Linked DNA regions of Oryzias latipes. The protein of the gene in region 3 interacts with the protein of the main gene of each other region in a biochemical or structural test. Links are inferred from orthologs where the notes say so. Each region holds a gene or a part of one and is shown on either strand. Other genes may lie near its edges.

Region 1 (4,255 bases), about 7.3 Mb from region 3:
TTTGTAGAAAAAAAACACACACCCTCAGTGCTCTTTGTCATAAAAGAGCGCCAGGATATAATCCAGGATCCCTCCCAAGCAGCTCAACGCGGAGACTGCACACATAAGTAGGAGTGCATGAGGCACGCACAGCTGATTGGCCTGATCCACTCATGTGATCACAAGCAGAGTCCCCCGTGTTAGGCCATGGTAATTGAAGCTTCCATATGGTATAGATCAGATGTTGCCTTCACCACAGCATTCCTGCAGCACAGTGACTTCCTTTTTGCATCCACACTGAAAACTGGGCTAATTTGGACAACTGTTTGGCATAACACCCACTCATGTAACGTCAAATAAATGAAATTCAATTTGCTAAATGACAAAACAAATTACATGTTTATGGTTTATACATTGGAGGATTTATTGATGATCTATTGTCTAATTTTTTCTTGCGTGGCAGGTGTGACGCTCTTTGCCAAAGTATACAAGAAAACGAACTTTAGCAGGAAACAGAAAAATTATGAAAAGCGTTCACTATTTTCTTACAGTTCTTTATATTACAAAGATATGAGCCATTATATAATGAATATATTACTATATTAAATTAGGGTGAAATATTTCATATTTTAAAGTAAAAATTGGATTAAAATTAAACATTTTAGCATAATATTAATCATGTTTATCCAATCACCAATTGGCTACTATTTAAATCTAAAGTCTGTAAAGTTATGCCATATTTAAACAACAATTTCTCCAATTTATCATTTTCTGTTGCTTCTGAAAATGTTACTTCTATGGAACTTATTTTTGTTTATAAAAATAATCCCTGAGTTAATTTTAAAAAGTGTGAAAAATTACTAGTTTTACTCTATTTTGGTTGCACGTGCAGTTAGTTAAACACTACGGCAACTCTTTAGGGATACTTTTAAAACAAATAAAAAAGATGATTGAGAAGGAGATTCTTAATTTGACAATTATTTCAGAGTTATTATTTATAATCAAAACTCCTATAACTACATAATATATAGGGAAACAGCAAATAAGTACATTTATTTACATAAGCACAGGTGATGTTCGCATTTCTATATCCAAGAACTTTTGTTTTTTATTTTAAAGTATCGCGATAGTTTAAGTTCTATGCCGCAAATAACTGAGGCAATGTTGGGATTTTCAAATAATAGTCGAATTATCTTTCTTGACAAGCAAAATTGTGATTTTAAACAAAAGTGTACATTCAATTGTCAAATTTGAAGTTGACATTTTCATAAAAACGACTTACATAGACGCGTTTAAGGAAGATTACGTCACTTTCTCGTTGTATAAATTACACGTTTTGGGAAATATGTCATGTGTCGCTACTTAAAGGTAATATTTGTTGAAATTGTGAGTTCACTTATCCACGTCCGGGTGCCCAAATTTTGAGGTTTCGAAAAAGAGGTGTACTGTCTCTTTAAGACGTCTCTGGCAGTCTGTTTCGTATTGATCAATCCACCATTTTCCAACACACAGCAGCTCCGGCAGCGCCACAGAGAAGAGAGCCACCCCTCTACCTGGAGAGGAAGCCAGGGACCGGGGCGCAGTCATGGCAGCGAACATGTACCGGGTTGGAGGTAAGCGCACACGGGTTCGGCTCTTTGGAACACCCCCGTCTTCGTTATTTTATGGCGGGCTCGCCATTATTCACAGAGCGAGATCTTTTATTTCCCAAAAAGCTAAAGAGCTTTGTGCCTCCACAGATGAGGATGGTGTGAAGAGGAGGATGGTGATGAAGAGTAGTAGATCTTTTTTTTTTTCTAATCACGAAATGTTGGTAGCTTCTTTTGTGCCTGTGTTTTGTTGCTCAGCGTGGAGCCAAACAACTCCTTCAGTGTGGGGATGCGCACTTTAGTGAAATGCTTTAGGTTCTCTCCTGTTTGAAGGTATCATGGCGAACATTTTCCCCAAAGTTTTGCGTGCGTTTAAACTGCTTTCTGCTCGGAGTAGCAGCCAGGAGGACTTCACTGACTGACCAACGGAGACAGGTAAAGCATCCATGAGCTGAAGGAGAAGGAGGCTGCTGGGACAAAAAGTTCAATTCTACCAAAAACATTTGGGGAACACCAAACTGGCAACTTTAGTGATGGTTTTCATGCCCATCCATCGCTAAGCTATTTTATTTCCATAATAATTTAAAAATATTTTTAAACAGGCAATTGATTAAAGTACCTAATTAAGATTCCCCACCCACTCGTTCTCTGCCTGTGTTCAGATTCAAATCCTACAGGGGAAAAAAACACGTGAAAGTTCACATAACAAAGTCTAATAATGTCATTATAAATTATTGTAAATATATTAGCCCTCTTGTTGTGGTTTAAATGTTTAAAAATACCCTTTAAAATGTTACAAATGTCTTGTTTTGTGTGTTAAAGGTTTAAACAAGCAAAAAACAACAACAGGTTTTTGGTTTAATTTTAGAAATTAGGAAGTGTTTTTTGGGATTTAAATAAATTTTTTTTTCTATTATTGTAACATAAGCTATCTTGACAACAGTGGTCATTATAGAATAATCCACACAAAGATGCTTTTCTAGTTATTAATTTAATAATGTGTGTTTATGTTTTTAAAATGTATCAAAAACTTGTAGACTGGTGTAAAAATGATATGTGAACTAACTGAAAAAACCATTAATTTGAAACATTTTGATACCATAATATTTATCTCGATGGTACACATTTCTCTGTGTTAGGACTTCATAAAAAAGTTTTGTAAAGATACATATAATGATGCTCAAAATTAATTTAAATCTTATTTTTAATGTTTTTCTTTCACCCCTAAATCCAGTTTGAATTAGATCTTCTTCTTTAAATGTATTGGCATTGAAATAACACCTGAATTTGTCGGATTTTTGCATTACTTACCCTCCTAAACGTTCATCAAAACAAACACTGACTGAATTAGTTCACAACTAGAACGTAAATATAGTGTTGAGTGGGCGATTTTTCTGCGAGTAATTTAGATGGGGTGCTGTGTGGGTTTTTGAACAATTGACGTTCTTTGGCTTGGATGAAGTTGTCATTTGTCTCGAGATGTGTCATCGTATCCCCGAAGAGCTGGCAGCAGGTGCAGCAATTTACAGCTGAGTTTATTTATCTAATCTATGTATTGATATTCTTTGGTCATAACCGCTTGTACAGGCTGAGTAACCACATTTTGTAGTACATCTAACCAGTGTGTGCACGTCTGGGAAAGAGGAACGATGATGAAGAAGAATTACCTTCACTTTATGGATCTATTTGCTTGTTCTGACCAAAAAATCGTCCCATCAAATGTAGGAGTTAGATGGACTTCTATGGATCAGCTATAGTCAAATTAAACCAGATCTACCTGACTGGCAACAGGATTATGCCCAGATCAGGGTAGAAGGTTAACCCTCCCTCTGCCAAAGTGTTGCCTAATTTGGTCCAAACCTTCATCGTCATTCTCTAGAGGAGAATCCATCAGCAGGGCTTAAATTCCTCATCTGAGCAAATTGTAATTAACTGTGCAGATGTATTATTTATTTATTGCCTTAATGCACTGAGCTTGTATTGGGTTGCCTCTGTTTTGTTGCACCGCAGCTCAGGAAATGTAATTAAATTTATCAATCAGGGTCTAAGCTGTTTACACAAACTCCCTAATTTGTCATTTTGGAAAAAGAAAAATCCATTTAGCTTCTTATAAAATACTTGAAAACATCTTAGGATTATGAAACTTACCCAATTTAATCAAAAATCATTAAACATAAGTCATAAAAATAGGACGTCTTAATTAATAACTGATAGGAGTAATCTAGACTTAGCCAATAATAAACCCTGCCTCTCCTGAAACCGGTTCCAGGTCATCATCAGAAGAAAGCAGAGCCTTAAAGAGTTGCCTTCAACTTTGCAAGACAATGCTGCTGAACCATCTTAGGAAGGACTTCCTTTGAAAAAGACTTGGACAAAAGCAGGCTCCTCTGGCCTTCATGTCTTTGTTTTGCACAGCGCAGGCCACAAGCCACTCATCCGGTGCACACAGCGGTTTTTCCTCAATGCTTCGCACCAGAGAAAGTGTTAATTACCAAAGATGGGCTGTGTGTAAAGCATAGAAGCAAACACAGCTTCTGCTTATTGAACTAGAGTTCAGGAGACATAATTTATTCGTGCAAATGTGTTGCTTAAAGGAAAATGACTGCAGAGAATTTAGTTGCCTTCGAGAAAAGAACCAAAAGGTGCTGAGAGTTAAGTGTGTCAATCATATATAGGGTATTTCAGAA
Region 2 (3,663 bases), on a different chromosome or scaffold from region 3:
TTGGGATAATGTCCAGAAATATCAACAGTGCATCAGATATTTTAAACAGCTGGAGTAGATTTTTCTTCACAAATAAGGCTCTTAATCTGCATTGTCTGGCCTTTACAAAAAAGTTGTAATTAGCAAAACTGTTCACTCAGGGTTCTTGCGTAATCAGTCTTGCTTTTAAATGTCTATTTATACTTTTATCTGTCAAAAGTTAATAATTAAAGTCCCAAGTGGACATTTATGGTCTTTTGACCTCTACCTCTTCCTTAGTATTGAGGGGAGCCAGTTAGAAGTGTCAAAGCACAATAAAACAAAGAAAAGGTCATCTGTTTGCTTGTTAAAAGAGCATGTTCAACAGAACAAAGTTCATTTTCACTAAACTGAGGAAAACAAAGCATAAAACCAACAGCAATAAACTGCTCTATAAGCAAAAGTTCAAAATTCTGTCCTTGGTGAGAGGATGACCACTCTGCTTACTGAGCAAACACCTGCTGTCATTAGTTTTCAGCCACACAGACACCAATAAAAACTTTCTTTTCCTGATTATTTTTCACAGTAAAACAATGTATTATAAGTTGATTTGACCCCTAGTTCCTCTTACATTTGATACCACACTTTTCAAACCAACTAATGAGGTCTGAAGATAGGAGTTGCAGTGTATTACGATGTGCTTCTGTTAATTTGGTTGTTTTGTTTGATTTTCCATCCTTAAAGTAGATTAGGGTGATGTGGCCAGAAAAAATGAATTGGATACGAAATGAACGAGAGCACCAATCGATTGAGTTTTTTTTACCTAAAACTACAAATTATTTGGTTGCTGAAATTGTTCTGGTTCCGTCATGATATCCATTGACAATTAGGACAGTCAAGGAACTGCTTTAAAAAATCTGCTTTGTTTTGAATTTTCGCCATAATTGAATGAGACCACCTGAAGGCCCGTACACACCGGGACGAATATTCGCCAGGCGTTATTCGCCAGCGTTTTTCGCCACGTTTTTTGTGTTCACACCCAGGCGATTTTCGCTGACGATGAGCCGAGCGAACATGCAATTTCCTTCCCTGACATTAGATGGCGCTTAATGTAAACAGAAATACTCCTGTACACAAGGTGGCGCTGCGCAACTTTACGCTTCTTAAAGTCGCTTTTCACTCAGAAGAAGAGAGCAAGTATTTACGCGCTTGTCAGAATAATACAAAGAAAACATGAATATTTCAAGCACCAGTAGCTCCAACTGGTGCATGGTTCGGGGATATTTTAGAATGTCCGTCATTATTTCTTTGCGGCAGTGTTGACGCTACTTGGCGTCTATCTTCTTCGCTGGTATGTGTGCTCAGCAAGGCAGTTTTGTGTTTGAGCGCCCCCAAGCTGTGTTTTACTGTAACTTCAGAAGCTCCAGACACGCGTGCAAAAGCGCCATTCTCATTGGTCGAATAGATTTCGACGCGACGCGTCGGGAAAAAAAAACGAACCCGAGGCGTTTTTTTTTTTGACGCTTTGACGCGTGGCGTTTTTTCGCGTCAGTGTGCACACTCACATTGGTGCCCTTTGTTTAGTCACGAGGCGTTAAATGTCGGCGAAAATCGCCGGCGAAATTCGTCCCGGTGTGAACGGGCCTTGACAATGCTCTGACAAAACTACGCCATGGTGATGTAGGCGAGCCGTGACTCACAGCAGACAAAATGTGTGAAGGCCTCCATGCATCGTATTACTGTCTGTATTAGGCCTTAGTCACAACTGCCCTTATGGGTGGATAGGGTCTGCGGGCAAAAATAGGCAAAACTGTAAGCGGCTCACAGGTTAACTGCACAAAGTATCAAGGTCGTAGACCTCTTGATGACCTTACAGAGTGGAAATGTTTATGCACATTTTTCTGCAGAAATGCTGCCCCTTGCGTGCTCCTTGCATGCAGATAGACTGTTAGAATTTAGGAAATTAGACAATCAGAGTATAGTTTGTGTGGGCATCCAACTAGCATCCTGTGAGCACTTACGTAATCATAATGGTTAGTAAGGAGTAAGTACTCGCACCTAACGAACGACTAAAGTACAGCGTAAGGACACCGTACAACAGCACCGCCCCTACGTCATTCAGTGCATGCAACTTACAGTATCCTTACAAATACTTTAAGATGCACTTACCACACACAACAATGGTCCATTCCACTGTCATGACGTCCCTTAAGGTGGATGCATTAGTTTCAAGGAAACTGCAAGACACAACTGTGCTCCCCTAAAGATTTGGCCGCTCCTCTCTACGACCTTCCATGTGGCCGGACAACCCAACAACTGACAGTACCCATACAGGTCAACCCCTATAGTATTAATAGTGTATTTTAACCCTTGTGCTATCCTATGGGGTCAAGATGACCATTGACGTGTTATCCCTACCATGACAAAAATAGATGTTTCATGTAATCCATGGAAACCAGTGAAGATCACTGAATCATTGAAGAAAAAAGTTCAGCGCACTGTCTTGTGGGGTCTAGATGACCCAACTCCCAATGTCAAAGTGCCTAGGATAGCACAAGGGATATCTAAGACTTTAGCCAGAGGCGAGAACAGATGCAACTCCCCACAACAGAAAGAACAAATTGAGATCCTGAGTAGGTCCTCACAAAGAAAAACAACCTCTTATGTATCACATCACCATGAAAAAGTAATATCAGTGTTTCCTTTTTCAACTTTGGCATATGCCACAAACTCAAATAATTCATCATTTGGTTTATATTCTACCAAAAAGTTGTCATTGTCACTTCAACGTTAGGAATGAACCGTAGAGTCACCCGTCCCATTCGCCCCTCACCTGAAAATTGAGGCTACGCAGCACAGCATTGATGCTGACCAGGTTTCTGGCAGTGTTGTCTATGTGGTTGTTCAGCGCCGTGTTGGTGACCGATGGTCCAAATGAGCCGAGGGCCTGCTGTAACAGCCACAAGCCGGTCTGCACTTCCTCAGCTTGCTCTAGTGCCTTCCCAGAGGATAAACAAGAGCAAAGAGTGGGGGTCTCATCTCGGAAAAGATAAGAATCAAAGGATGTAGGAAGCAATTAACTCTTCCTCTGGAAATTATCAGAACTCACAGCTCAAGAAAATATTATTACATAAAGAAAACAGGCAAAACAACATTTTTACGTGTTAAAAAAATCACAATGTAACATGTTTTTATTGGCTACATCATCAGAAGGTTCAATCATAGCATTTATTCAAATTGATACTTACATTTTTCTTCTCCCAGTCCTCGAAGTTGACTGTAGTTTGGGGAACAGAGACCGTCTGTGTTAGGCCACATCCTTCTCTGCATGACCTCTAAGGAAGTGCAAACAAAGACACGATAATTAAAGCCTCCTAATTAAAGGGATCCAAACATCCAGTATGCACAGTCACCACTTGTGGATCCCATTCACACATTCTCCACTCACCATAGCGACTTCTGCGTCTCGTGCTTCCTGGATGAAATGGTTTAGGACCCTCAGGTCACAGATTGGCCGCAGTGGGGATAGTAGGCCTGGGCAGGTCCACTCCAACACAATCAACAGCAAGGCAAACAGTCCTGCCACCAAAGATACACACAACAGGAGTTTTGCAAAGTCTAGAGGATATCAAATCTAGGTTGACCTAACTAAACAAGTGAGATAAAACTAAATGTAATGTTGTAAGTATCCAACTATGTCTGTTT
Region 3 (4,247 bases):
AAATTCATAACTGTTAACATCCCTTGTCTGGTGTAGCAATGTAGGTTGTACAGGCTAAAAATACCTTTCTGCAGCAATAATTCCTCAGATTTCTCAGTGCTTTTCTTTGATTAACAGCTGCATCTCTCATCTGCATTTTTCTGAGCGCCTGCTGCTCTTTAGCTTCACTATTGGGTCAAAAAGCAAGTTTTGACATTGCTCAAACTTGCTTTTATTAACATCAAATATAAGTGATGGAGCATTCTTGTGAATTTATCCCGACGTTAGCATGATAATCGCCACAAATTTTCATGTATAATAAAATCATCAATCATATTTTTTTTTCTAAGATTTCTTTTTAGTTGCTTCTGGGCCCATAACCCGTTGATCTTTGCAGCTTTAACACCAAAAAAAACAAAAAAAACAACTCAAAAGACAAAGAAACAATCTTCGTTAGCCTTTTGGCATATTTATGAGGGATCAAAAAGTTAAACAGCTCACAAGAGTTCCTCTCACTTAAGATTTCTGTTATGACATAACATCCATCTCTGACCTCTAAGTCTGCACTTCCCAGTGGTTAAAACCCCCAACATAGTCACAGTAGGTAATTATACAAAAATCCTAATTTCAACTTTAATTTAATTCAATTCAGGAAACAGCCATAAAGTTATATTTTTGGCAAAAAACAGAAACATGTCCTTCTATATAATCCAGGTAATCTGTTTCTAGTTCTAACTAGTCTGCTCCTTGAATGCCTCACAGGAAGCACCCATCGCCACTCAGTGAATTCCTACACACTTTTAGCCACTCCCATTGACGTCAAGACCCTGTGATTAAGAGATGAGACAGAAATTATAGCAAAACAATTTACGGAGGTCTGAAAGAACTAAATCAGAATAAACTGCCACAATGGCCAAGACTGAACACGTGTTTATTTCCAGTTTAAATGATGACCCCATTATCTAGATCTAAACAAAGCTCTAAAACCACCACACATTTAGCTGTTTAGGCAGACAGATGCAGTAGGATATGTACTTAGTTTTCAACTTTTAGCCACTCTTTGTGCTTGACCAGTGTAAAAAAATAAAGTTTTCTTTCTGAACTATAAGGGTTTTTTCATCACAAATTTTTACTACTATTCACTATGTTCATATTTTTCACCAGCAGCTGAATCATAATCATTATGAGCTTTTGTAGGTAAAAATTTTTTGTTATTAAGTGGTACATCAGGGAATTAAAGTTATGGGGGGGGGGAAGTCAGAAAATATGTCTTGCTGGGAGGAAACCTTTTTCTTTTTACTTTTTCCTGTTGAACATACATTTCTTTATTACATTTCTGCTTCATGCAAAATACTGTATACTAAATGTTCAAAGTTACATGGCTGTTTTAAGATGAGAAACTTACATTACAAAAGTTATAAAATAATATGTAAAATCTAAAAATTAATATGTATTATGTCTATAAAAAATGTCAACAAATATTTTGATTAATATTTTAAACCAAAATGTCAGATCAATTGTAATAGAGTAAAGAACACAATTATTTTATCATAAATATCCTACTTTGTCAATGTATTAAAATCCAGACATCATTCAATTTAGTAAAATGTGATTACCCTTCATTGCATCAGCTTTGATAAACTGGTAGTTCAGTTTACAAATGAGTTGTTTTTATCAATAATTTCTATTCACTGAATTGTACATTTTATTATAGAATGATTGTTAATTTTGTGTAAAAAAACTACAACTTTCAAATAATAAACATGGCTGCCTAACCTTAAAAGTAACGAAATTAACTGAAACTTTAAAGTTTCTCTGTTGCACGACACTTGTACAACCTTTATATCTTACATCATTATTACTATTGTTGCTATTATTATTATGGTTGAGTGTTACTCTAAATCTAATTATTTTTTGGAAAGCAATAATAATATAATACCAAAGGCATTTGGTGAAACAAATTTTTTCTAAAATGGGTTTTTAAAAAGCAACTTTCAGCAAAACAAAAGGCTAAAACAAGAGTTTTAAAATGAATCTTTAGTCTCAAATTCAAAACGACTAAAACTTAAGCAGACAAGGAGGAACTTCAGGCCACAAGTCACACGTGAGCAGCAGGTGTTCACTGACCAGTCAATACTATTAAACCACATAAATCCACTGATCTACTCAAATGTAACTAGATGTATAAAAACTGCAAATATTAATCGAAGTATTATTAATTATTAAGATTTAGAAAATCGACCACATCTGCTGGGATCTAAAGAAGTTTCCGAACAAAAAGCACATGATGATGGAGGGAAACGCAGAGAACGGTTTTAATGACGTAAATAAACTACATTTTAAAAATTCCAGCACATTAAATTATTTCAATATAAAGATTTAGTGTAAATAGACAGGTTGACGCCGACCTTTCAATATAACACCATTTCCGACAGCTAGCTATGTTAGCATTTTTGCTAACGACACTACTAGCAGCGATGACATTCGTATGAAGTCCAACAAACACACCAAACTGGCAGTAAGCTAGAAATTTTGGACCGTAGAGAGTAGTAAACGTAAGTGAATATTAAAGTTCTAACAAAAGAAAAACATGTTTAGAAATGTTTAAAACGAAAAGCAGACGAGTAGCGGCGTTAGCAAACTGTGACGTTACCTTTTCTTTTCGGGTACAAATCCTGTGTCCATGTCAGGACGAAAGGACTTGAGTTTAGCCTCTCTATCGGTGTGAAGCTGTATCCGGGCGCGTCAGAAAATGAACCACAATCCCTCAATGTTAATCCGTTGCCTCTCAAGTGGGTTGCATAAGAGTTCGAGGCAGATATCCTTTGTTGGATAAATCAAACTCTCTTTGGCTCAAATCGGGCTATTCGGTATACTTTCCGTAGGGTTAAGGAAAATGTGCCACGCAGGAGACGCGCTTCTTGCTAAGACAATGTTGCCTCGCGAAGGATCGTTGACTCCTCCTGCTGCCTCCCGGGAACGCGCAATCACGTGTCCTTATTTTCCACCAACGGGGGCGCGCGCTGCAAGCTAAAATCACCTGCTGCTTAAAATTGCACACATTTTTGCTGCCTGCATGGCGCGTGACTTATTAAAAGTAATGCAATTTTAGGGCAAATAGGTTAAGGTATGTATGTTCCAGGGAATAATTGATACAAGATTTTTAAATTGTATCTAAACATACAAAAAATGTGTAATTGTTTACATCTTATGTTTTTTATACAAATTCTACCTTTTAAGGCCTTTTGCAATTTTTTTTAATTTACCTTATTTATGCTATTTATGTGCTTTTATAGTGGAAACATCTTTTGTTTTGAGTAGTCTGTCACTATTCCTTGTCAGACACATGGATGGATCAACACAAACAATGCAAAGTTAACATTTGCCTTACAAAAATAAATGGAAAGTTACTATAAAGTATGTTTTCTATTTGTGTTGTAATCTGCTCCTAAAATTCAAAGACACAATTCTGTAAAAATGAAAATAAAAGGTATCATTCGACAGAGAAAAAAAAACTTTTCCTTGACTCATTTAGAGCTGCTGCAGAAACAGCAAGCTTGAGAGTACAAAGCAATAGGCCTGTGGACTGGAAATGCATCAACCTGAAGATTGCTATAGGGGAATTACTTGGAGGGTCTCTGTGTGGAGTCTTTTTCATTATCTCCTCCGATTCAAGGGATTATCAGTCAAAGATGCTGGACAGCAGAGTGAGATTGGGGACTCAATAAGGTTTTGCTGGAAGCTGCCGGAAGCTCTGGATGTAATTAAAGATGGGGTGGATTCAGATATAACCTACAGACAGCTGCCAAACATGACATATATACAGTATACACAAACCGTGGTTATGTTGCAGGTTATTACTTAGGAGGAAAATCCTTAATAAGGTAACTGACTTCTTGGGTTATTTTTTATCAGACACGGTTTGTGTTTTTACACATACCTGACATAACCCAATAAGTCAGTTAATCTTATAGACACAATGAACTTTATTGACTTAATAAGGGAAGTCTTAACAGGTCAGCAGACTTTGATGTAAATTTATATGCATTTTTTGTTGAAAAATGAATGAAAGCAAAATTTTTTCTTTTGTCTTGAATCAGCTTCTAGTCCACCACAGAACACGGGCTTGAAGTGATAAACACACGTAGAGCTCAGCGACTTCCACATTCAAACTCACAGGAAGGGTCCGTCTGTGCCGTTTTAACCTCAAGAGCTTAGCGGGGCTCATTTTTTTTGCCAAATCTCCAAATGCTTCCCCACGTAGCAGA
Region 4 (4,397 bases), on a different chromosome or scaffold from region 3:
TATGGAGTGAGTCAGCTGTTCACGTTCAACATCTTTGTCACAAATGCATTCCTGGAAGAATGGTCAAACATTCCCATCAAGACACACCTAAACTTGTGGAAAACGTTTTAAAAATGTCAATACCTCACTGCTGTGACAAGTTTCATTCATTTCATTTATTTTGAAAATAAATCCTGTTTTTTAAAATATAATCTATAATATAGATTTCTATATTAGTGTCCTTGAAGTGTACATTAAATAAAAAATAAAATAAGTCATATCTTTTTTTTTTTAATTTTTTGTGCAAAACAGAAGTATAGTACAAAGCACATTTTTACAAAATAAACTTCAAATAGGCCAGGGGAGCATACTTATTACATGCATTTTACATAAAAACATTCAAGTTTTTACAACTTTCATAGAAACATACAGCTTTCTGGCGAAGGCTTTTAGAGATGGTACTGAGATATATTTCAATTTGTTTGATTAATATGGGGAAAATAGAAGTTGAAGAAAATTTGCATTTATGAATATGACATTTTTTACTTGACCCCAAGTTTTTATTTTGAAAGCAAAAAATTATATATTCAAATTTCAGAGTGAAGTTGGGGTGAATATGTTTTTTGATAAATTGTAAACACTTTTTCCAAAAAATTCAATTTTCATTAAAGTTCCAAAAAAGATGGTCAATTGTTTCTGGATGTCATTTGCAAACATTACAGTTAGGGTCAATTGTTTTAACATATCTCAGCATGAATTGATTGCTGGGGTAGATTTTGTGAATTATTTTAAAAGAAACCTCTTTCATTTGAATATTTATCATACATTTTTGGGTCACACTCCAGCCTTTTCTCCAAAAACTGTTGGGAGCAAACCGTCTGGTGTAGTTTTACATACATGGTACAGAAATGACATCCCTTTGAAACAAGGCATGTACTTTTTTGTTGTTGTTCTTGTGGGGTAAAACAGATTTTTCCTGTGGTGGTGTCATTTGTATCCATAGAGGGCATTTCTTTATTCCTAACAGTTATCTTAAACATTTGACATATTTCTTTGGAAACAGCATCAAACACAATGGTATACAACAAGATTGTATTTAGAATTGAATTCAGTATACCTTGGGCGGCCGTGGGGCAGCGGCAGGGCAGTCGATCATAAGATTGCAGGTTCAATTCCCGCCTTGCACACCCATGTGTCAAAGTGTCCTTTGGCAAGACACTGTACCCCACCTTGCCTCTGGTGGTGGGTTGGCGCCAGTGTTCAGCAGCAGAGCCACCACCAGTGTGTGAATGTTTGTGTGACTGTAAAGCACTTCCTCCTTCGTGGACTAATTTCTCCGATTTTGGCAGTTGAAACCCGGACAATGAACTGGCATTTTGCAAAAAATGTGTTCACATGCATACACTGACCTCACTAAGATGGCGGTGCTCTCCTCCCATGAGGAACCACGTGATGTCTCCTCTAGCGATATAAATCTTTTTTTTTCTGCCGATATTACCTGCTTACGTCATCAGACTCCTCCCCGTTTAGTCCCCCGTTTTCAACGATTGGTAGCGCCCGCTGTGGCTCACAGAAGTTACATTGAGCCGCGCGGCGGAGCGGGAGGGGGTGGGTGTCAGATCGAGGATTGTGGGTCAGCTGCCAACGTCGCCTGGCTCCTCTACTTGCTAGCTGTTCGGAGTCAACTCGAGAGCTTTCTTAGAAGATGAGAAATAATTGTTTCGCCTGCGGTAGCCGCTCTTCTTCTGTGGTAATAAGGAATTATTCGTGACAACTGTTATCGCTGCAGACGACAGAACGGGATGAGCTTTTCGAGGGTAAACATTGGGCCTGTCACTTTGCCGACTCCCGGTTGGTTCTGTGGGGGGACGGTCATTTCAACGTTTATCATGTTTAAGCTAGCAGTCAGAGAGACCGATCGCTTGTGTTTGTGACTGCAGTTCGGCTTGGTGTTGTGATAATGGAGCTAGCTAAGAGCCTCTTATAACATGTCTGCTGTCAACCTAACAGACGCACCATTGAAGAATAGTTATGGCAGAGCAAGACGTTTGTCCTCACCTGGACTCCATAGGTGAGGTGACCAAGGATGATCTACTGAAGAAATCAAAGGTGAGTTTCCATTTTTGTTGCTAAATAAAATGGATGCCATAGTAGATCTCACTAGCTTATCATTTGACGTAATCTGCCTGATTTCCCAATTTTTTAAACATTTCTTTAGGGGACTTGTCAGTCATGTGGTGCTGGGGGGCCAAACCTGTGGGCCTGTCTGCAGGTATGCTTCAAATATTCCATTGTGATGGTTTAACTTGTACAACTCCTATGAAAAGTTGCACTCAAAGTGCACCTTCTGCAATCAGTGGCTACTTTAACACGACATTTCTCAAATTGCAAATCTTAAAACTTTAATTGTTTTTCTTTATTTGCAAATTGAAAGATCCAGTTCTGCTAGATCTGATCTCAGTGTTTCTGATATGTAGAGTGACTGTCCTTACGTTGGATGTGGAGAGTCTCATTCTGATCACAGCACCTTGCATGCACAGGTAAAGTGATCATACCATCAATTCTCCACCTTTTTCACACTTTAAATGGATTAAAACTGTCTTTTTTTCTTTTTTTTGGCATCTGCTTGCAGGCAAAAAAGCATAATCTGACGGTGAACCTAACAACCTTCAGGATCTGGTGTTACACATGTGAGCGGGAGGTCTTTCTAGACCAGAGACCAGCCCTGGTCCCTGTGCCTTCTGCACCTCACCACTGCAAAGCTGCAGAGCAGGTCTGGAGCCACACCAGGGCCGCACATGATTTTCACTATAAAAAAAACTCCTAATGATTTATGTTTTATTTAGGATGGAGCTCCACAGTCTGGATGTCGCCCACTGAAAGCTGTTCCAATTGCCGTGGCAGAAGAAGACGGCTCAGAATCAGAAGAAGATGAGCTAAAACCTAGAGGTGGATCTCCTCTTAGTACTTTTCCTACTAAAAAAGCCCAGTTAAACGAAGTGAATGTTGTGTTTAAAGATCAGAAAAAATTTCAAACAGGCAGTAGAAGCACAACAAAAATATTAATTTAACCGTTTGTCCAAATTTGGTACATGACAGGGGGACAGGACATGTCAGAGGTTTGGCAGATAAAGTCAGAGAGGCAAGACTGAGATGGCCGAGACTTGTCCAGAGGAGAATTTGTGACTATATTGATAGAAGGATGCTGACTCTAGAGCTTCCAGGCAAGAGGTCTAGGGAAAAAAACCAAAGAGGATGTTTCTGAATGCAGTAAATGAAGATATGAAGGTGGCTGGCGTTAGAATAGAGGATGCGGAAGACAGGGTTAAATGGTCAAAGCTGATTCACTGTGGCGACCCTTGAAGGTAAAAGTTGCAAGGGAAAAAAAGGAAGTTCCTCCAAATGAAAAACATAAAAAGGGAGCCCTAACTCTTAAAAATAAGGTGTGCTACTTTTCTCTGACTCGCATCACTGGGGTCCTGCTTTGAAACCCGGCCCAGGCTCTCCTTCAGAGGGCAAGCCATAGAAATTGACTGATGGAATGTCACCCACACTGAGTGGGAAAGAGCCTGAGCTTGTGCAGTAGGTTGAGCGGTACTGGCTAATGACAGTCAGCCTTGTCTCCATGCACACTTTGGGCCCTTGAAATCCAACTTCTTGAAAGAACCTGGATTTCCACTTCCACTCTAAAGCAGAACTAAGAGACGTGGTTTGCTTATAGCTCACTCATCACATGTTGAGCTTCTCCTTGAATCGAGTAGAGAATTGGTGTCTCTGTGTCTCCAGCTCCAGGGAGAGGGCTTTAACTTTGTTTTTGGTTTATGAGTCAAACAGCAGCACAAAGTAACCGTTTTCTTACTGAGGTTTTTTTTTTTTGCTTTTGGTGTAATAGCAGTTATCAGCTCAGTTCCTCGACCTTGTTAAAATCTCAAGGAGGATTCCTGGAAAATACTCAGACTGGGGACTCCATTGTTCTTCTGAGAGACGTAATCACCCATTTGGTCAATGACAGTGATTCCTGGAAGGATGTGATCAGGAGGAACATCCTCCCTGATCTGAACCAGAGTTTTCTTGTAGAACTTCAGTGTCAGTCACAGTCTGTCCTTAACAAACTATGTTTGAGTCTGGTGTTTATCGGTGCTCGCAGCACCAGGACACCCTTGGCAGGAGTTCAATGATCCACTTTGTGGTCATGTCATCTGACCTCCTGTCATGTGTCTTGGACACTTTAGAGAAGCTTTAGGCAGTTTTCAACCGATTTCCACCTGGTGGTGAGTTGGATTTGCTTCCAGAGGAGAGGAGGAAGTTGTACAGACGTGGCCGTCACAAACACGCTAAGAATGTTTGGTTGAACCAAATGTCAGAAGGGTCTTCAACTCCCATACCTAAGAGAGCTTAAACCAGGTAGCAAGAGAAGC
Region 5 (4,173 bases), on a different chromosome or scaffold from region 3:
GCCATCTTGGTGAGGTCGACGACGCCCACATGACAATGATTTCTATTGCTTTTAGAGGTGTCTAAGTAGCTTTTATATACTATATATGTTTTTACAATTTATATATATTTATAAATATATGTAAATACATTATATTTATATATATAATATATATATATATATAGATACATCATTTGTTGTTGTTAAAGAAGAGAAACAGTCAGCCTTAAAAGCTCAAACTTTAATGAAAATGCATTGTTGCAGGACTTCTTACAAATAAAAAAATTATTACAAAGAATTAAAAAAAAATAATTTGTAAACATTTAGGAATTTTAGACCTCTTTGACATGTAATTTAAATTATTTAGAAAAACCCAACAATAACTCAATAATAATAATAATAATAATAATAATAATAATAATAATAATAATAAATCAATAGTAAGTCAATACAAACAATAAATAATAGCAATACATACATAATAAGTCAATAAATAATAAAATATAAGTCTATTATTATTATTATTATTATTATTATTATTATTATTATTATTATTATTAATAATAATAATAATAATAATAATAATAATAATAATAATAATAATAATAATAATAAAATAAATATTCAAAAGAATTCCAAAAGTGAACAATAGATTTACCCTAAAATAACAACAACAAAGAAAAATAATAGATTCATGTGAGTGATCAATTTGTGTAACACAGATGGTATGGTGTCAGGTTTCAAGCTAACAGTCTGGCCTCTTATCTAAATTGGTTTCCACAAATGTTTTGAACAGTCAGACTGTATTACTAGTTGGTACCACAGTGATCCATCTGGGTTAGCTCTTTTTATTGCTAAGATCCACTTTTTCCTTAAGTCTGAATAGTGAATAGTGAAAAGTTCGGTCACTGAGTCAGACATGTATAAATCTATATTACTATAATAGCCTAGTATGCTGTATACAGGTTTAGCAAAATAAAATGTACATTTATGTCGACAGCAAATTCTCCGTACATCATGCAGCATGTTGATAATAACCCTGCAGCATCATGCATGTCAACATGTGTTCTATTAATAAAAGAAAAACAAAAGAAAAAGAAAGAAACAAAAGAAAAAAATTATAATACTTTTCTATGAAATGATATACTTCTTCTTTCATGGACTCAGTTCTCTGATTTTGGCAGTTGAAACACAAACAATGAACTGGTATTATGCAAAAAATGTGTTCAAATGCATTCACTGCAGCAGTAACTTGACCTCACCAAGATGGCGGTGCTCTCCTCCCATGAGGAACCACGTGATGTTTCCTCTAGTGATCATCACTCATTGGTTTAAACTCACTCCGCCATCTTGAGACCCCCTGTTCGCCCCTCCCCTCTCCATCCCCTGCGTCCCAGCATGATGACGTCACCTTTAAATGTTTACGGTTAGCCGTTAGCGGCAGGAAAAATGCGGCAGACTGAGCCGCTCTTTAAAAAGTAAAACCTCGCTGAATCTCAGGATTATTATTATTTTTTTTACATTTAAAATGTCTATTAGGACGTCTTACTTTTACGACCCAGATGTGGGAAACTTTCATTACGGTGAGTTTGCTGAACGCTGGGATTGGAGCAGGAGTGCTAATGCAAGCTAGCTGGAGGAGGCTAACAATTCAAACGATTCATTGTTAAAATTCAGCTCCAATTTTGTTTCTGGGTTTAATTAAGATATTTTTTTTTATCTCATTCATATGTTCAGGCCAGTGTGTTGTAGGTGAGTAATGAACACATAACGTCACATTTGGGTGCAAAGGAAAAGAATATTGTAGCGATCCTGCCCACGGCAGGAGTGTATGTAGATACTTAGGGTTATCTGTTGGTGTTTTTAAACCCTGACTGAGTTGGTTATTTCCAGGCAACATATTTGCAATTTGTATTCTATACAGGAATGGGCTATTATACTATATACCAATTAAGCTGAGGAGTACTGATTCTAGATTTAGGTAATAGAAAGGTTAATAATAATTAATTATGTCCTTACCCGTTTCTGTTATCATGAAAACTTTTAGGTCTTAATCACTTCCAGCTGTTTATAATCTCTGAACAGTTTGGGATTATCATTGATTTGGTTTTTTTATTAGTGTGAGCTCAGTTCAAAGCTGCTGTGAGTCCACAAAGAGCTGATCACTGCAGGATAAAAATGGAGACCAAAATCTAAAACAAGTGTTTGTCCCAAAGCATTCACGGCCTCTGATTGACAAAACGATTGTTGACAGAGTGTGATCGTGGTTTCTCTGGTTTTTATAGGTCTAAAAAGAAAAGACAACAACAAACAAACATTTACAGAACCGACAGCTGCAGCAGATTCAAACTAAATGGAGGGATTCTGCAGCATTTTTTTTAATCTTCTTTCCTGTTGGTCGTGAAAACGCGTTGGAAGTGTAATCATGTTGAAATGGAGCTGATGATGAAAAAGTGATGATGCTTGTTGTGAACCGCGTCTCCTGCAGGTGCCGGTCATCCCATGAAGCCTCACCGTTTGTCTCTCACCCACAGTCTGGTGTTGCATTATGGGTTATATAAAAAGATGATGGTGAGACACTCCTGAAGGTCCAGAACCTGCTTCCACTGTTGCTTCGAGATCAAAGATTGAACTCTGCAGTTTCTCTGTGACCGTCAGGTTTTTAAGCCGTACAAAGCCTCTCAGCACGACATGTGCCGGTTCCACTCTGAAGATTACATCGACTTCCTGCAGAAGGTCAGCCCCAACAACATGCAGGGCTTCACCAAGAGCCTGAACACCTTCAACGTTGGAGATGACTGGTGAGCGCTGCTGCTGCTGCTCCTCCTCTTCATCGATCTGTCTTCTGCTTTTGGTTCATGCAAATGTGAGCACTAACCCAACGGCGGGCTCTAGTCCTGTGTTTCCAGGACTCTTTGAGTTCTGTTCCAGATACACGGGGGCGTCTCTGCAGGGCGCCACGCAGCTCAACCACAAGGTAAGCCGTCCGCTTTTCTCCATCACTGGGTTTGTCATGAACCGTCACTCATGGACTCCTCTAGTAACGGATATTCAGCTCCATTTAGGAATTATTCACAGGGTCAGACTTTAAATGTTTACATGATCATAAAGGGCTGCAGATTTTTTACACCACAATCGATCATCATACTGAACGATTTCTCTATTAGACCGAGGAAATATTCCAAACTGCGTCACCCGGATAAACGAGAACCTTCAGCCACATTCAACGCAATCATTTAAAAAAGAAAATGGTTTGCTTATTATTTATCAAACATCGTTACTCACAGGAAGGTCACAAATAAGCTAAATGTTTGGTTTTTTTTACATGTTTTTGCAGCATTAATAGAGTTAATAGTTAAATATTCTGGAGTTTGTAACAAACATAGCAGCTTCAGTTCTTAAAAATATAAAAAAAAACAATGTTATTTTCAAGCTGCGTCTTAAAAAAATAGTTTCAGCAAATGTTTGGGGAAAAAACAGCCAAAGTTGTCAGCATGAAGCTGGAAATGTTTGGAAATTTGCATTTGTCTTCATTTGTGGCGATCTCATTTTTTAACAGCACATTGTGTTCTGCGTCCTGATTCGCTGTTGACCTTGTCAATCAATCTCCTCTGTGCCAAATCATCATCAGATCTTTGTTTGCATTCTATAAAACTGGATTTATTCTCCTAGTGTGCAAATGTGTGAAAGTGAGGAGTTATCCGACTGTCACCACAGACATCCATGGATGTATATCAATCCACAGATATACATACAGAAAACAATATCATTGAGTAGACGTTTGTCATCATCAGGACAGCTGATCCAGTTTTGAGCTGCTTTATAGTAAAACATGGTCCTTCACTGTTTGGTTCTGATTCGGAACATTAAGCTGGTTTGGACTGAAAAGCAGCAGCAAAGCAGCTTTCAATGCCAACCTTTTATAGACATCTTGGAAGACATTTCTAAATCATTTTCTTTATTTCTGTCTAAAAAGAAAGTCCTACATTTCGTAGCTGTTTTCTGTGTAAACAGGGCTTCTTTATTGGAATTAAAAGTTTAAAACGGTGACTCCAGCCGCTCGTTTCCTTTCATCTGAGACAGTAAAAAGACGAAAGATGTACTTTATTGAAAAACCTGGAATCATTGGAGTGTCATTTACCTTTTATTTATAATTATTGAAACTGCAACAGAATAAAAATAAAAACATTTTTA
Region 6 (4,280 bases), about 12 Mb from region 3:
CAAAAAAATTTATATTTATAAATGCAATTTTAAAAATGTATAAATGTAATTATTGATGTAAATTTGAAATGTTTTGTTTGTTTTGTTTAACTGTGTTATTTTTAGTCAGTTTCTTTGTATTCACTTGTATCAACACTAATTCCACTTTGGGCGCGTGGTGAAGTACACGTTTTCTGTTCCTGTCAAAGCCACAGAGCGCGAGGGCTACATGCGGGTTATGGGGTAGCCAATGGCGTCTGCCCGCGCGGGCAGAGTGTTAAACGTTTCCGTGAAGGTGTAACCGTGTAACCCCGATTCTTGTCAGAGAAGCGGCGTTATATTACGCTCTTCTGCACAGATAAACTCTTTTTTTTTTTTTTTGTTCATTCTTGTAGAAGACACTAGTGTTTCTCTTTCACATGTTTACGTGACCAGACGCTGTGACCCAGCAACAAAGCGCCCAGCCCGCCTCCTGTTCTCTTGTTCCGCGGAACATCACATCCAGCACGTCCGCCGCGCGCTCCTCAGCGAAGCAGCGGCGGAAAAGCGGAGAGAGGGAGTGGGCTTTTCAAAATAAACCCAACCTCAGGTGCTGCTCAAAGTTTGAAATAAATCACTCAATTAGTGTTTCAATTTAAAATTCATGATTTATTACCGCATAGAGCTTTTTTAAATTATGAAAAACACCTTACTGCACTATTATACAAAAACGGAAAAGCCCAGGTAGTAAAAATGAAAAGAAAACAAAGAATTACACAAATGAATTGGTATTACAAAGAAAAATTGGAATTTAAGTTTTTTTTCAGCCTGGTTTCGATGGAGATTTCCTCTTCATGGTTTCCATGTGTCATTCTCAGTATACGAAAATACACCTAAAACATTTTTTTGAGTAGGCTACATGCGGATGCATGCTCGGAACAGCTTCAGTGGTCTGGACTGAAATGCACAATACTAGTAAAAAAAAACGGAAATGAAGTGGATTGTCAAAGCAGATTAATTGTAAAGAGTTACAAATAGGCGAAAAAAGACGGGAATACTATATAAAATAAGCTAAGTAAATATGGACTAAAAAAATCAAGTTGAAATAACTCATTTGTAAATATTTGATTTGCCTTTCAGCTAGCTGTTCCTTTTAGGATTTACCACAGAAAAGCCATTTCCACTATTTAATCTTGTTCATAAATATTTTTAATAAAAGTATTTGTAAATAAACAAATATTGGGATATTATTTTAAAGCGTTTTCTTTCATTTAAAAAGCTGACACAGACTCAGGTCTTTAGAGATCCAAGGATCAGAATAATAAGTCACGACACTGTCTTCCTTTCTAGCCCTAATCTTAAAAGTTAGATATCAGATTTTTTTTAACATAAATGTGATATTTTGCTGGTTTGAGGTTGAGTGTTGTTTGTGTTGAACAGATTCTGAGCTTGAGCGGTTTGTCGTCTTATTGTGAAAAGTCGTGGCGGAAGTGGTGTGAGCGCCGCATCGACGCGCGTCTGGAATAAGAGGAGCGGGGCTTCCCTCGGAGTTCAGACCGAAGCAGAAACTCCGCGGAAAGTCCAGTCTCGCTCTTGTTTTGGGTTTCCAACATTTACCGGACCTCCCGCCCCTCCGGTTCAGTCCTAACGGTTGTAAAGCCTGAAGCCCCCACCGCCATGCCCATCACCGAGCAGCTGTCCCACACCGACCTGGAGCGGCTGGCTTTGGACCGAGTGGTTCCGGCCCTGCTCACCCACGGCTTCTACTACGTGGACGGGCTCCTCGGGGAGGTGGCCGGGGCCGCCGTGCTGGACGAGGTGAAGGGAATGCACGGCTCTGGGGCGCTGCACGACGGCCGGCTCGCCGGCTCCGCCCCCGGGGTCCAGCGGCGGACCATCCGCGGCGACAAGATCGCCTGGGTGAGCGGGTCCGAGCGCGGCTGCGAGGCGATCGGCTTCCTGCTCAACCTCATCGACCGGCTGATCTCCGTGTGCGCCGGCCGGCTGGGGAACAACAAGGTGATCCGGGAACGGTCCCAGGTGAGAGACCGGGAACGGAGCCGGGACTGGAGCTGTAGTCACTTTAATCCCAGAGATGAGCTGCCATTAACTAAAGAATGAATTATTGCTTTAACAACTAATAAACATCATGTTTTAAATATAAAAATGACTTTAAAGTCCCACTCCTGACACCTTTGGTCTCTTAATTATGATGATGCTGTTTTTAGCCTACATCTAAAAACCTGTGTCATTTCTAGGACATAGTTTCTGCAGAGCGGCAGTAGTTCATTAGAAATTAGTCTCTGAGTTGTGGGCAGCACAGTTGGCAACCCCGCCGCTCTTCCCATTGCTGAGAGCTGTCTGTCTGCATGCTCTACATTAGAGCAGGATCCAGTTAGGATCCAGATTCCAGCTCAAGACCAGGAAAATAAAGACGATCACGGATCTATTTGTCTGCAGGTGGATGCATTGGAAATTAAGAAATGCCACATTGTCGCCACAAGAACACGTCTATAAGACCATTTTCATGGGTGTGGGTCTTTAAGATAATAATAAATGAAAGAAACAGAGACATCCAGCCTCTAAAGCTATAAACTATCATACAGGAATAGATGTTCGGGGCCAAATCAGCCTAAAGTCAGTCACTTTGAAGAATAAATAAAAAACAGTCTTAAACTCAAAAGTACACATAAAACTTAAGGAAATGTTGTCGATTTGAAATGTGAATTAAAAAAATTCTATATTCAGTCCTCAGTTTACAGTTTCAATTCAGAGTTTTTGTTTTCGGAGTCGATCTGAACTGTACGTGGGGGCGGGACTTTGAGCCCATAGGGTACTGTAACATGACTGACAGCGGGCGACTTGCTGGCGCCGCCTGTGTCCTCCGTCCTCTGATGTGGCTACCTAAAGTTCAGATCAATACCAGCAGATGCTACATGAAAAATGTTTATTTGTAACAACAGTCTTTATTTTTTTGAAGTTTCCATGTGCCGTTCAGAGTCTAAAACAGATGTTCAGTGTATTTTTTCTCTAATTTACAGTCTGGATTATCATGTATGTTAAGTCATTTCTGAATCAGAATATCTCTGCACCTCCTTCAAAACCTCAGAACCTCACAGACGCCGCTGTGGCTCATCAAGCCTCGGGAGAAGAACAAAAATAATCCAGATTAACGATGAAGAGGCCAGATTAAGGGTCATTCACTGCTGCTTTTCAGCTCCACACAAACCTAAACAGGCAGTGAATCAAAGGTTAAACTGAAACCTTAACTCAGTTTTTTATCAAACAACCAGGGAGCCCTTGGCAGAGGGGGGGTCAGGTGTGTGTTGGGCTCAAGGGCACTCTGGCAGTCACTCTGTGATCTGTTGTGAATGTTCAGGTGTTCTGTCGTTTATCCTGGTTTAGATTTAGTGATGATGAAGAGGAAGATGCAGAGCTCAGACTGAAGGCTCTCCAAATTTTCTGCATTGATGGGGGTTCGAATCCCAGCAGCTGTTGTGGTCTCACAGCTCATCCTCCTGACCTTGTCCGCGTCTGCGGCGTACAGACCACCAACCCCTCGGTTCAGCCGTTTCCACAGCAGAGGCGCTCCTCTGGCGGGGGTCCGTCCCCGGCGTTCCTTCGTTTGGGGCAAGGGGGGAGGGAGTCGGCCCGGCGGCCTGTGCCTCACGCTCCGCACGTAGCTCTGTCGTAAAACCGTCAGCAGATGGGAAACCCCCCCCCCCAGCAGCAGCCAGCCACGCTCTCCCACAATGCAGCAGTTCTGGGTCCCACCCCAGGAGCAGGAAGGGGAATAAAAACACCTCCAGGTGATTTATCCGTCTGCAGCCCCTCCAACCCCCACCCTGACACACTTATGTTTTTGTTTGTGCGTGCACGAGCACGTGCGCACATGCCTGAGCAAACGTGGAGCTTCCTGCTTCCTGCCAGGATGTGGATTTGGCGGCAGGTCAGCCCCCCCTCCCCCTTCCCCAGTTGACCCCCACATGTCATTCCTCACTCTGACAGTGAGGAAGAGGAGCTTATGATGGGATGTCTGTTGTGGATTCACATCAACTCCTTTTCATGACGACACAAACAACAACAACAAGTTTGTTTGATCAAAACAAATGTTGTCAAAAGTCATAAAAAGGATTAGAAATGAGACAAACCCGGCCGGATTCAGAGGTTTTGCTGTGAACCAGTTCTTGTGGCTCCACATGGGGGCGCTGTAGAGCAGCAGGACTGCTGGAATCCACAGCGGCTGAGTTGAAGTACTGATCCAAAGCTGGGAACAGTTGTGGTTCTGGAGGTTCCACTGGGACGGCAGCTGTCCGTGGGGT
Region 7 (4,441 bases), on a different chromosome or scaffold from region 3:
TAAACATTTACCGTATGACTAAAACAACTCAAAATAACAGGCAATGTACAGAAATGACTGAAGCTAATTAGTCTGGAGCTCAGAAACAGCCTCTGTTATCATCAAGCAATACAGTTAGCATTTTCAAGTTTCATCAAGGCCCATCAAACCACATTCAGCAGTAGTTCCACATCATCACGTAGGAGCTCTCACCCAGATCTTGATGCTAGGGCCAGTGGCGGCACAAAGCCAGTAGCGGTTGGGGCTGAAGCAAAGGGCATTGATGACATCGCCGCTGTCCAGGGTGTACAGGTGCTTGCCCTCGTTCAGATCCCAAAGCATAGCCTGGCCGTCCTGATTGAGAGAACATTAACAAGAAAATAAGCCATGACCACACAGCAGCTCTGTTCTGGATCTTCATTTAGCGTGGCTTTACGACTCAGTGTCACTCAGAAACAGCCTCTTTTGTCATCAATTGTTTACCAACAGAATGATGTGTTATTTATCCATCACAGTTGACACCTGGAGGTCGGCCTTTGTGTGCCATCACTAAAAATCTTCACAAGTATACGAGTCGAGTTCTCCAACTGAACCAGCTTACCTTTCCACCGGATGCACACAAGGAGCCGTCAGGAGATACGGTCACCGTGTTCAGGTAGCCAGTGTGGCCGATGTGGTTAGTCTTCAGCTTGCAGTTCGCCAGGTTCCACACCTATAGAAACAGCAGCAGACAGTGACCGTCAAGTTTACACTGACATGAAAAGACCAGATAAAACTGTGGAGACGTGCTCTCATCCACAAAGCTTCTCATCAGAAACCAGGTCAGGTAATACATGCAAACTTCTTTAAAATCATGGAGCATATTTTTCTATTGTTTTTAAATCAATCTAATGGCAAATGAAGGGAAGCGGAAGTACAAACCTTGACCATCTTGTCCCAGCCGCAGGAGACAATAATGGGGTTGCTGCTGTTTGGAGAAAAGCGAACACAAGACACCCACTCAGTATGGCCTTCATCCTGCAAAATCAAACACATACGGTTTTACAGGAATCTATTTGATTACAGGTCAATGCTTATGTGATTTTTTAAAATAAATTTACAAAATTTACAAGCACGAGATTATCAGTAAAGCCTTTCTTTTTGAAGGTTAGCGACTTAATTTGCTTAACTTCATGATCTGACCGTCATGTCAACTCTTCACAGGAGTTCAAAGTCAATAAAATCCTGCAGCACGGATAAGGACGTCATAAGATCTACAAAGAGGCAGCATTATCCGGCAGCTCACCTGAATGGTGTACTTGCAAACGCCGAGAGTGTTCCACAGCTTGATGGTCTTGTCCCGAGAGCCAGACACGATCTGGCGGTTATCAGCAGAGAAGGCCACGCTCAAAACATCCTTGGTGTGTCCAACAAATTGGCGGGTGGTGAGCCCTCTGAAAAATGGCACATTTACCTATTAGCAAGAGGCTTTCAATAAAAAAAAAAAAAAACATGAAGAGGACGCCTGTCATCACACCACAGCTAAGAAATACACTCCACAACAGACGGACCAAGAAAGGAACATCAATAAAGGTTTGCCTTTAGAAAGCTGTGAAACTATCAAATGTAAACAAAAAAAGGTAAAGGCTAGAGACAATAGTACATTAAAACAAGTCAGTTCAATCCCATAAAATATAAACAGGATAGATCTCCATCAAAATGACTAAACATACAAGTTGAGAGAATTTGGCATTTAAAGATGATGTGAGGTGGAATGAATTAAAAACAATGAATTTAGGTTGACTGGACGTTTCATGACTTGTGAGGCTCCTAGAAACAACTAAAGCTGTAAACTGGTGCTTAAAAAACTGAAATGACTGGACTGGATGCAGGTAAACCTCATTTTAAAAAGAAACATGCTAAATTGATTTCCAAATCTCTCAATAGCAAAACAACAAAACTAATCTGAAATCTAAGGTATTTATATGCATCATGGAATGTAATCAGTAAATGTACTCGTCTTCTTTTGATAGTCTTTAGTACATATGTGTTAGGCATCTTTTCAAAATACATCCCATTTTCTCCACAAATGAATGGCTGGCTGGCAGCTGCTTCACATAAATGATTAAAATCATGCTGCCACCAACCACTAAAGAGATGCTTCCTGCCCTTCACTTACGTGGTGAGGTCCCACAGGCGGAGGGTTCCATCCCAGGCTCCTGACAGGGCAAACTGTCCATCAGAGGAAATCACAACATCACTTACAAAGTGAGAGTGGCCCTTCAGGGAGCGCTGGGGGATGCCATAGTTGGTCTCATCACGGGTCAGTTTCCACATGATGATAGATTTGTCTGAAAGCAAGAGATACTTTAGATAAACACATTCAAACCACTTTTATATTTATTCAGATACATTTTTTTTTTCAAAATAAAATGTGCATCAATAAGAAAAGTGCTTCAGTTACAACTAAGTTTTTTTGAGGTAGCAGCTGCCACATATTATGCTATGTCACAGGAAGCTAGCTTACCTCTTTGCTAACATGTCTACAAATGTTCATTTTGCATCACTTTATATACGGTAAAAACCTCCGTAGTTGTTTATTAAATCTAGCTGGTTTCATTTACTCACGCAACAAATTCAAAGTTACAGCATTTTGAACGCAAGCAGCTGAGAGCTAACGTTAGCCATGTTGGCGGTGCCGGCGGGGCGAAGCCTCACCTCGGGACGCCGACAGAATCATGTCGGGGTATTGAGGTGTAGTGGCGATCTGTGTGACCCATCCACTATGCCCCTTCAGGGTCCCCCTTACTGTCATCTGCTCAGTCATTTTGGGGAGGTTCGGTGGTGCCTTTTACAAGGATGGATTCGGATTTTAGACAGGTTCAGCCGAACCTAGCTCCTCATCGCATCTAGGCACAGAGGAAAAGGAAATACGACCCCGGATGCAGAAACTATGAAAGGTCGCGCAAAGGATTCTGGGACGGGTGGACTTGACTACACCGCAGTAGTCTGCTTTACGCCATTGATGTATGCACCTCTTAGCTTGTTTTTCAATTAAAAGTTCTCTTAAAGAAAGGGGAAAAAAATCCCAATAGTTATCTTTATTACGTACGGAAGAAGATTAGGACCACGGAGAAAGGGAAATTCTCACTTTATCTCAGAATTCAAACCTTTTCTATCTCAATAATGTCAGATTTCTGACTTTATTCAGAATTCTAAATTATCCAGTCAGAGTTCTAGACTTTTTTTTACGACTTCTGGCTTTTTTCTTCGGATTCTAACCCCCTCCCCCCATTTTAACCTAATTAATTAATCTAATTGGTCTAATTTAAACTTTTTTTACTCTGTGCTGTTTAAAATAATCTCAGATTTCTGACTCTTTTTTTACTTCGATTGTCATTGTGTTGTCAGAGCAAAGTGTTTGGACAGCCACAGCCACATCCACTTATGGCAGCAAAGGAGTGGCAACGTAAAAAGCATTTCAAGATGAACTTTTGTTTCTGATCAAATACCGTACTCTTTTTCTGTGCCCGTTTAACCCTTGTGCTATCCTATGACCCCCACCCTTACATTGACGTGTTATTCCTACCATGAAAAAAGTGGATAAAGGTGGAAAGATTTCATGTAATCCATGGACACCAGTGAAGATCACAAATCATTGAAGAAAAAAGGTTCAGTGAACTGTGGGTCTAGATGACCCAACTCCCAACGTTAAAGTGCCTAGGATAGCACAAGGGTTATACAAACACATTTTTAAAAATCATACAATGTGATCAGCTAGATTTTTTTAACATGTTGTCGTCTTTCAAAGTTGAATAGTATCTATGATGAACATTACTGACCTGTCATTTTAAAAGTGCGACATCTTGAAGAATCAGTGACTGCCAAATGCTTTTTTTGTTACTGTGCTGTACTTCCATTCATTATATTACAGATTGTTTTTTTTATTCGAAAATAATCAATTTTGCATTACTGCGATGTTACTTTATTTTGATCATGCAGAAGCAGAGGAGACAAATATACGACAAAGAATTCTATATTTGAATGAGGTGTAAGGCAGTTTGTATGATGATCCATCTTTTTGGAATTGTTTTTTTAATTCAAGCACACAAAACAAAAGAAAGCAGAAACAAAAGAAGCCAAATAGCTAGGATCTGTTCGTGATGCCAGAATTTTTAGGGAGTCATAATTGTGCCCCAAATTTCACCAGGGTATAATTTACCTTCATTTTTTATACAATGTCATGCATTTAATGTTATGTAAATTATACACTTTAACTGCCATTATAGGACATTTCAGTGGTTACTTGCTGGGGGACAGGGGGTATCCTTGTCTGCCATATCTGATGACCCCCTACCCTGATCCTCAGACTCGACAACAGGCACAGTTCAACCTGACCCACAGCAGAACACGGGTCAGGGTGGAGATGACTATAGGCATCCTGAAGGCAAGATGGCAGTGCCTATGTAGGCTCAGGGTCAGC

Evidence for each region.
Region 1: the proteins of hif1a (region 3) and mta1 form a complex in vitro, tested with the Homo sapiens proteins (2 studies listed by BioGRID). The link is inferred for Oryzias latipes from reciprocal best matches to the Homo sapiens genes HIF1A and MTA1.
Region 2: the proteins of hif1a (region 3) and epo form a complex in vitro, tested with the Homo sapiens proteins (2 studies listed by BioGRID). The link is inferred for Oryzias latipes from reciprocal best matches to the Homo sapiens genes HIF1A and EPO.
Region 4: of the proteins of hif1a (region 3) and usp20, one has a biochemical effect on the other in vitro, tested with the Homo sapiens proteins (2 studies listed by BioGRID and IntAct, with this or other methods). The link is inferred for Oryzias latipes from reciprocal best matches to the Homo sapiens genes HIF1A and USP20.
Region 5: the proteins of hif1a (region 3) and hdac3 form a complex in vitro, tested with the Homo sapiens proteins (2 studies listed by BioGRID). The link is inferred for Oryzias latipes from reciprocal best matches to the Homo sapiens genes HIF1A and HDAC3.
Region 6: the proteins of hif1a (region 3) and egln3 form a complex in vitro, tested with the Homo sapiens proteins (5 studies listed by BioGRID, with this or other methods). The link is inferred for Oryzias latipes from reciprocal best matches to the Homo sapiens genes HIF1A and EGLN3.
Region 7: the proteins of hif1a (region 3) and rack1 form a complex in vitro, tested with the Homo sapiens proteins (2 studies listed by BioGRID). The link is inferred for Oryzias latipes from reciprocal best matches to the Homo sapiens genes HIF1A and RACK1.

The regions. Positions count from the first base shown.
Region 1 is NC_019880.2:4,694,759-4,699,013, reverse strand, and holds the start of mta1 (metastasis-associated protein MTA1), read left to right. Parts: upstream 1-1,328; 5' UTR 1,329-1,347; intron 1,348-1,462; exon of another isoform or gene 1,463-1,491; 5' UTR 1,492-1,564; coding exon 1,565-1,592; intron 1,593-4,255. UniProt on the Homo sapiens protein: Transcriptional coregulator which can act as both a transcriptional corepressor and coactivator. Acts as a component of the histone deacetylase NuRD complex which participates in the remodeling of chromatin.
Region 2 is NC_019876.2:6,191,088-6,194,750, forward strand, and holds part of epo (erythropoietin), read right to left. Parts: intron 3,538-3,663; coding exon 3,407-3,537; intron 3,294-3,406; coding exon 3,207-3,293; intron 2,957-3,206; coding exon 2,792-2,956; intron 1-2,791. UniProt on the Homo sapiens protein: Hormone involved in the regulation of erythrocyte proliferation and differentiation and the maintenance of a physiological level of circulating erythrocyte mass.
Region 3 is NC_019880.2:11,968,699-11,972,945, forward strand, and holds the start of hif1a (hypoxia-inducible factor 1-alpha), read right to left. Parts: upstream 2,949-4,247; 5' UTR 2,665-2,948; coding exon 2,633-2,664; intron 1-2,632.
Region 4 is NC_019870.2:7,753,101-7,757,497, reverse strand, and holds the start of usp20 (ubiquitin carboxyl-terminal hydrolase 20), read left to right. Parts: upstream 1-1,520; 5' UTR 1,521-1,796; intron 1,797-1,989; 5' UTR 1,990-2,010; coding exon 2,011-2,088; intron 2,089-2,197; coding exon 2,198-2,251; intron 2,252-2,456; coding exon 2,457-2,519; intron 2,520-2,611; coding exon 2,612-2,752; intron 2,753-2,825; coding exon 2,826-2,928; intron 2,929-4,397.
Region 5 is NC_019868.2:25,322,757-25,326,929, reverse strand, and holds the start of hdac3 (histone deacetylase 3), read left to right. Parts: upstream 1-1,373; 5' UTR 1,374-1,507; coding exon 1,508-1,562; intron 1,563-2,467; coding exon 2,468-2,550; intron 2,551-2,637; coding exon 2,638-2,780; intron 2,781-2,874; coding exon 2,875-2,956; intron 2,957-4,173. UniProt on the Homo sapiens protein: Histone deacetylase that catalyzes the deacetylation of lysine residues on the N-terminal part of the core histones (H2A, H2B, H3 and H4), and some other non-histone substrates.
Region 6 is NC_019880.2:24,327,674-24,331,953, reverse strand, and holds the start of egln3 (egl nine homolog 3), read left to right. Parts: upstream 1-1,447; 5' UTR 1,448-1,635; coding exon 1,636-1,998; intron 1,999-4,280. UniProt on the Homo sapiens protein: Prolyl hydroxylase that mediates hydroxylation of proline residues in target proteins, such as PKM, TELO2, ATF4 and HIF1A. Target proteins are preferentially recognized via a LXXLAP motif.
Region 7 is NC_019868.2:17,071,878-17,076,318, reverse strand, and holds the start of rack1 (receptor of activated protein C kinase 1), read right to left. Parts: upstream 2,903-4,441; 5' UTR 2,786-2,902; coding exon 2,677-2,785; intron 2,310-2,676; coding exon 2,138-2,309; intron 1,413-2,137; coding exon 1,265-1,412; intron 997-1,264; coding exon 901-996; intron 692-900; coding exon 581-691; intron 334-580; coding exon 193-333; intron 1-192. UniProt on the Homo sapiens protein: Scaffolding protein involved in the recruitment, assembly and/or regulation of a variety of signaling molecules. Interacts with a wide variety of proteins and plays a role in many cellular processes.